2 linked regions of the Saccharomyces cerevisiae S288C genome follow. The protein of the gene in region 1 interacts with the protein of each later gene in a biochemical or structural test. Each region holds a gene or a part of one and is shown on either strand. Other genes may lie near its edges.

Evidence for each region.
Region 2: the proteins of SAS2 (region 1) and SAS4 form a complex in vitro, tested with the Saccharomyces cerevisiae proteins (2 studies listed by BioGRID).

What each region holds. Positions count from the first base shown.
Region 1 is NC_001145.3:521,636-525,298, reverse strand, and holds SAS2 (histone acetyltransferase), read left to right. Parts: upstream 1-1,953; coding exon 1,954-2,970; downstream 2,971-3,663. Other genes in the region: ATP-dependent RNA helicase ECM16, read right to left, coding at 1-1,603; DLT1 (Dlt1p), read left to right, coding at 3,510-3,663. UniProt on the Saccharomyces cerevisiae protein: Histone acetyltransferase (HAT) subunit of the SAS complex, a multiprotein complex that acetylates 'Lys-16' of histone H4 and 'Lys-14' of histone H3. The SAS complex is however unable to acetylate nucleosomal histones.
Region 2 is NC_001136.10:825,268-829,327, reverse strand, and holds SAS4 (Sas4p), read left to right. Parts: upstream 1-1,972; coding exon 1,973-3,418; downstream 3,419-4,060. Other genes in the region: YDR182W-A (uncharacterized protein), read right to left, coding at 1-177; putative lipid phosphatase CDC1, read right to left, coding at 271-1,746; cohesin-loading factor complex subunit SCC2, read right to left, coding at 3,552-4,060.

The sequences.
Region 1 (3,663 bases):
AACGGCTAAGCATACCGATCAAAATATCAGTGTTAATGTTTCTTTCATGTGCTTCATCTATGATAATGGAGGAATATTTAGTCAACTTGAAATCGTGCATCATTTCTCGTAGCAAGACACCATCTGTCATAAACTTGACCTTTGTGTCCTCCTTTGCGGTAGAGTCAAACCTAATTTGGTATCCTACTTTATGACCATGGTCCCCCAATTCATTAGCTACACGTTCAGCCATGGACACAGCGGCCACTCTTCTTGGTTGAGTGATACCCACCATTCCTGGGTAATCTGGAGAATCTTCGGCACCAAACCCAGCCTCATATAAAAATTGTGGGACTTGTGTAGTCTTACCTGACCCCGTTTCACCACAAATAATCACTACATCATTATGGTGAATAGCCTCCATAATTTTGTGTTCTTCACCAAATACTGGTAGTTGAATTCTTGCTTTCTGAATTTCATCTGATCTGCTAACTTCAACATAGAAGGCTTTACGGGTGGAATTCTCGTTTATTGGAACATAAGCTTCTTGGAGACCATCATCTAAATCTTCCTTTCTAATTATCGGTTTATAATCGATGTTCAAAGTGGGAGTAACTAGCTCTTGATCTCTACCTTCCAATTTTTTTATTTCTTGATTGGCCCAATCCTTGAATTCGTTAGCAACATCATTTTGGTCAAATTTTTCTGAGCCAGTTTCACTATCTGCGCTTTCAACTTCTTCGAGTGGGTTTTCACTAGGATGCATTTTGTCTTCTTCTTCCTGATCCTCCTCTTCGTCATCATCTTCAGATGTCGTGTCGAAATCCATTTCATCTTCTTTCCCATGCTTCTTCAATTCTTCCATTTCTACTCGTTGTCTCCAATTATATTTCTTCTTCGGAGTTTTGCTTTCTTTGTTTATGACTTTTATATTGCTAAACCCAAAGCTAAGACCAGATCCACCAAATTTTGCTGGTCTATGATCAATAAAACCTGATGATTTCTTCTCCTCATTGTCCGTTGGTTTCGGCATACTACCAAATGAAGCCTCGAAATCATCTTCGCCGTCATCATCCTCAGAGCTCCCTCCTTCACCATACTCATCCCAAACTTTTGGTTCATATTCTTCGTATAATATTTCATTTGTTTGTTCATTTCCTCTTCCTTGACGTTCTAAACTCAGTGCTTCTTTGAATTCTTCCTTTTTAGTCTGCCTGCCCTCTCCTAACCTTTTAGAGCTTGTCAACAAACTTGTATCTATCTTATAATCTTGAAGTTTACCAATAATTGTCTTTCTTTCCTCTCTTTTTAATTGATGTTCAATAAATTTATCCAGTCTTTTCTTCTTCAATCTCGAAACTTTCGATTCCTTTGGGGTAAATAACTCCTGTAGTTTTCTTTTCTTCATTTTCTTTTCTTCTTCAGTGAGAGGTTCAAGAATTTCCGCATTGGCATTTGGCTCCGTAGTAGAACTCTCAGCGGGAGCTGAATCTGGGTTTTCTACTCTTTCATCGTTTTCATCCTGTCTAGTGAACTGCTTATTCCTAATTCTTTTCAGTTCTTTTAATTTGGCCATATGGCCGGATCTGGCTTTTTCATTAAACCTTTTTCTGTAAGTACCCATACTTATATTTCTTAAGACACTCTATTATTAGTATTGGGTTGTAATTGCATTTTTATAGCATATAGCACTTGCTATTAACAATAATATACTAATACTATAATGAGCTTTCAATACTCAGCTCATCGCCAATGAAAATTTTCGGAACACCCAATCATCATGATATGTTAGGCGCGTAAATATGAAGAATAACAGAATCGTTAATCAGAAGAGATGATGAAATCATTAAGTCTTGTCCATATCGAACTGGATAGAGTATGTAGCGCTCTAAGAATCTGTTAAATTGAAGTTTGATTTTTTGATATTGGAGGCTCCTATTTTCTAGTTGCTTTTTGTTTTCACTCGCAAAAAAAATGGCAAGATCTTTAAGTCAATCACTCACAGCGACTACCCAGAAGCTAAAAGGAAAGAAGAATGGTGGAAAAGGCAAGAATAAGCCCTCAGCAAAAATTAAAAAAACTCAAAAAGAGATGCTATATGGAATACTGAACGAAAGGAACATAAGACAGATTCAGTTTGGACTGAATAAAAAATTCTCTACTTGGTATGGGAGCGCCGTTTATTTCGATCCTGAAACAAAAAGGCTAGGGTGCTCCGAGACCAAGGGTCAGCTTTCCTCTGTTTCTAACAGCCAATACTGGCTAGACACTCTTTTCGTTTGTGAATACTGCTTCAAATACACGGATGATCAGACGCGGTTTGTAGGACATGTTGCAAGTTGTCCATTTCAATATCGTGTTCCAGGCAAAATAAAATACAAGAGTCCTGAATATACAATAAGAAGAGTAAAAGGATCCAAGTATCAACTCTTTTGCCAATGTCTTTGTCTTTTCACTAAGCTATATCTGGACAATAAATCCATGTATTTCAAAGTAGATCATTATGAATTTTACATAGTTTATGAAACTGGATCAACAAAGCCGATGGGATTCTTTTCGAAAGATTTAGTGTCATATCAGCAAAATAATCTAGCGTGCATCTTGATATTTCCCCCATATCAACGACGTGGATTAGGCCTTTTACTTATCGAGTTTTCATACAAACTATCCCAATTAGAAGGTGTAATATCAGGGCCAGAAGTACCGTTATCACCTTTTGGACTAATCGGGTACTTGAAATATTGGTCACAGATACTCTGTTGGCACCTTATTGAAGGTGACCTCGCCCATTATGATAAAGTGACCCTGGAGGATCTTTCCATCGTGACTGGAATGAGAGTCAATGATGTTATTTTGACCTTGAAGCACTTGAACTGTATTGGGGAGAATAACCAAATTTACTTGCAGTCATTGAATAGCTGGTTGAAACTACATGGAACAAAACGGAATTGGTTCAAATTAAAAGATGAATATTTGCTGATAGATGACTAGGAATCTATTCAGGATGTAACTTAATGGCATATGTATTTCAGGATAGAATATCGCTCGATGAATTCCTGTACAGACAACTACAAACGGACGAATTTTGTCTGACCAAGTTAAGAACAGAGAACTAATGCATAAAATTTGTTTTGCTGCAAAAGTTTCCCTTTTTTTAGAGTATAAATATCTTTTATAGCAAAAGACTTAAAACAGGTTCACGTTTTTATTAGCCGTTTTTGGGCCGGTTTTTCGATGACGAACAAGGACCAAACAAATACAGCATCAAAACAAATTCTAGAATAAGAAGGCAGAAAGGGTAAGGGCATAAAGGAAACCTTCTTTTGTGGTGATGTTGAACTGGGTTTAGCCAAAATTACAACACATATTAAAGTTTTGTTATTTTGCGATAAAGTTATTGCTCTTGAGCATCAAAGAAAGTGGGAGGTTAAACAGAGGAAAACACATTGAAATTTATTCAAAAAAAGATACCGCTATACAACTTTGGCCTGATACTATCTATAGACACGAGTGTCCATACTTAGCAGTAGATGTCCGGATTCGCAAAACTCAAGTCGTGGTTATACAAAGCTTCCCTTTTCGTTTCTTTGATACTTTTGATTGGGTTTTCAGTTGTTTTACCCATAGATTCCATTGCACAAGCTTCTAAATCAGAAAACAATGCCTTTAATACGTTCATTGTTG
Region 2 (4,060 bases), on another chromosome or scaffold:
CAACAACTTACCTAGGTGTTCTTTTTTGTCCCCGTATAGTGAAGTAATTGGTGTTACGCCCAGTCCTGCAGTTTTAGCTTGGACCACAAAACATAATGCAAATCCAGTAGAGGTTATGCAAACTGTTTGGTGAGCATAGTAATACCACACCCGGTATAATTTATATCTCTTGTTCATTGTCTGTATATAAGGTGTATTCGCATATATTAAATAGCCAGACGTTTCCCTTCAAAGCATTTTGATCCTGGAAGAGAATAGCAGTAATTCTGTCTAGACTACAGTATAAAAATAAATAAAAATGGGCATCACAGAAACAAAAAGGACAATTGCATTAACTAGAAATTGTTTGATCGAACGCGTATCATTCACAGCGTATTTACTATGTGTCAATGATTTTTTGGATTTCGATTTGGAAATACTTGTAGGTAATGGCAAATCTGAGGTGTTACCATCAGGTCGTGTAAATACTCTGTTCATTATGGTTGCTACGCGATTATTAAAAGATTTTGGGAAAAAATGCATGTATGCGATAAAGGCAGCAGAGAATAATAATCCCCATAGGTACATTCTGATTGCCTTATAGGGATCTGGCATATAGCATAGCTCTGTTTGGTAAGTTTTTGATGCATACTCTCCGCCGGCATTTACCATTGTCAAATCTGAAGGATTATATAAGGAGAGCAATTGAATAGCAGGCCTACTGATCCCCATGTTCATTGCACATGACTTTACTGTAATTTCTTGAGCATTTTTAGTTTTCCCCTGAAACGGATATGAGTGTGATATCTGACAATGGTCATGATCATCCCCGGAAAATAATATTTCTGGTTGAATTTTCGTTAAAATTTCTTGTGATATATCGTTTTCTATAACTGTCTGGTACTGGTGCCCTTTCTGAATAGGAAAAGGTTCTTTGGATTCACGTAGCTGACCGCACGTTTGCTGTTCTGGATCCCTCCATAATGGAACGTGAGTTAAAAGAATTCTAGGAAGCGGATGTGAACCCATTGCAAAATTATCCAAAAACTGTCTAGGAACCCTCGAGACATTCGGATTTGTTTTATCAGAAAGCGAAATTGTATCTAAAAGTACAAAGGTATGATTTCCAGCGTCTAATGAGGAGGAAGTTTCTCCAAAGTAACTAGAAAATCTCTGTAAACTCGATTCAACAACTGTGTCTCCAAAACCAATATCGTGATTACCTGGTAAAGACATGACCGTTCTTCTCAGTGGCTTCTTGGGGAATATTTGGTTGAATCGTGTGTACTCTTTAATCCATTGCTTATCATCCCAGTTTCTCCCTCCATCAAATAGATCACCTAGGAAAAAATTGCTATCAGGATCCAAGTAATACTGGACATATTTCCAATTTCTCCTGTGATAATGGTCAACAATCACTCTTGTAAAATAATTAACTATTTGAGGCCTCCCAGGATATGAATATTCGTCCATTATTTGTGGGTCTGCAAATAAACCCACCCTATGACTTTCAGCGCCTTCAGGCCAATCCTCCCAAGTCGACCATTGGCACTTCTTCATTGCTCTCTTCACAACCACTGATTCATAATAAGATATTAATCCTAACCATAAGATCCATACAATAGATATGTATCTCCAGTAGATTCTTAACCTCTTCTTGCTCCTGCTTTTTGATTTCTTTTTCGAACGTGATTTATAGTGGGCCTTATCGTCGCTCTTCTTGCTGTGTGTAGATAAAACGCTCTTTGACCTGTTACGATATACCATACTTCCTAGAGCTTATTGTCTAATGTATCCAACAGATTAGTAGAAGCGGTACTGTTTTCCCTTTCTTTTTGGTTATTGTTGTTTCCATAATCGTTCGTTCTACATTTTTAAAAATAAGAAAATCTAACCCGCGAGTTGATTTCAGCGATCTCAAAACAAAAAGTAGCAAGATTAAAAAGGAAAACCGAAAATTTCTACAGCATTAAAAGCATATGAGAGTTCATCAATGGGTATTTTTCAATCAATAGAAGAAGCAAATAATACTTCTGAGAGATTGCTGAGGTCTGAGATTAAAAATAGTCATGGAGAATTTGAAAAATTCGATTTTGATACAGAAGAATACGAAATTAACCCTAAAAGGAAGTTAAGATTAGTCAGCAGGATAAACCCAAATGCTGGACATCTAAGGAAATCTAAGTCCTGCTTTACTGTAGATGAGCATGTTGACGAAACGCGTTGTCAGAAACCTGTGATGAAGTCGCCGTTCATGAGTAATGTCGATGATGAGATCAAGAAAAAGAGAGAGACAATTACAAAGATGACACTAGAAATTGAACATCATGAATTGAGCCAGAATATTAGAAAACCAACTGATGATTTGCTTCCTGATAGCACGTATCAGCCTTACCACAAGAAAATGTTGAAGCAAGAAAATAGAATGATTCAATCGGACATCGTAAATGGTGAAAATGAAGCAGACAGGCTTTCATTAATTTCAGACAGACTGGGTATGTTGAATTGGGAAGTAACATTACAGAAGGTTACTAAAATAAATGACCCCACTGACGAGAATGAAATGGAGACTAAACGTTACCAAACTAAAGAGCTGATTGATTCAATGTTACATAAATTTGAATCTATGAAAAAAAAAAGCCGCAATTTAGCTAGAAGGCCAGCCTCAAGTGATTCATTGTTGAAATTGGTTAGTGGCAAAGATTGGCCCAAGATATATACTCGAATCGATCGAACTTTTATTCCAGATTACGCAAGCTCCTCTGACGAAGAAGAAGAAAAAATAACCGTTGAGGAAATAAGGGAGAGACGCCTAAAGAAGAGAGAGCAGCAATGCGGTGGTTCCATTATAGTACTGCTGAGCGATCATCAATCACAAAAGGGAATGACACGGTTTGCTATCGTAGCTGAGCCGCTCCGAAAACCGTATTTGATTAAAACCTCCACTAAAGAGAGAAATTCATGGAAAAACAAAGTTCCCACAAATCCAAAAAAATTCAAGAAAGCTCCTCGAATATCAACGCAAATTGCTGTGAAAAGAAGAAGGGAAGTCATCCCGTTAACGATGGAGGTGGAACCAGAAGTCATTCGGGATATAAGGCAAGATACACAAAAGTCTATGAAACTGAATGTTAAAGCGGAGGAAATATCTGTGACAGAGACTGTCAAATCAAAAGAAATGAATGCCTTAAGGAACAATGCTGCATCTATAAGTCCAACTCTTTCAGAGAAGGCACCTTTAGGTTCAATTTCATCTTGCACTGCATCTCAGATTTCACAAAGGTCTTCTGAGAATGTGGGTGCTATTATTAACAATATCAACCCAAACTTAGCAATAGTGCCCTCTTGTAACGAAAAGACCTTTGTAAAAACACACAATGGAATGAAAACTAACTCAGGTATTAATATTTTGCCTGTCCGCAAGAAAAAAAAGGTTTAGTTTGAACTAATATAATGCGATGGTGTAAATGAAATTCAATATTTCATAGTTGCTTCTCAAAACCTGCGTGAAAAATCAGCATGGAAAATGCAAAATGATTATTAATACTATGTATATTTTAAGTGCAATATATTTACGTATCCTTCACGTGTTTTCTAAAATATGTAAGAAGCTTGCCATTTGATGAATACTGTTCAATATTCTCCAACTGTGCGGAAAACTTACTGATATCCGGCTTCTTTGCAGGGAGTTGTTTGTTCTTCAATTCTGATTCTTCTACAATATCTAATAAAAGCACATCATCCCTTAACCCGTATAAGTGCAGTAGATAAGTACCCAAATCCTGTAAGCTTAACTGTATTAAAATTATTCCACTGAGCTTTTCTTCTGATACGGATAGCGATGAAACATTGTCACCTATTTCATCCATGATAACCTCTTTTAATCTATCTGTAGTTAAATCAATGGTTTTGAGTAGGGACACCAAATCGTACTGAGAAACAAATGTGATATTCGAAATGTTAGTGCAGAGAACGAAAATGGACTTTTGAACACTACTATTTGTTGATGTTAAATCGGTGATATCATCTAAATAGGATTGCATGATTCTCTTCAGAACTTTAAAGAACTTTGGGCCATTTT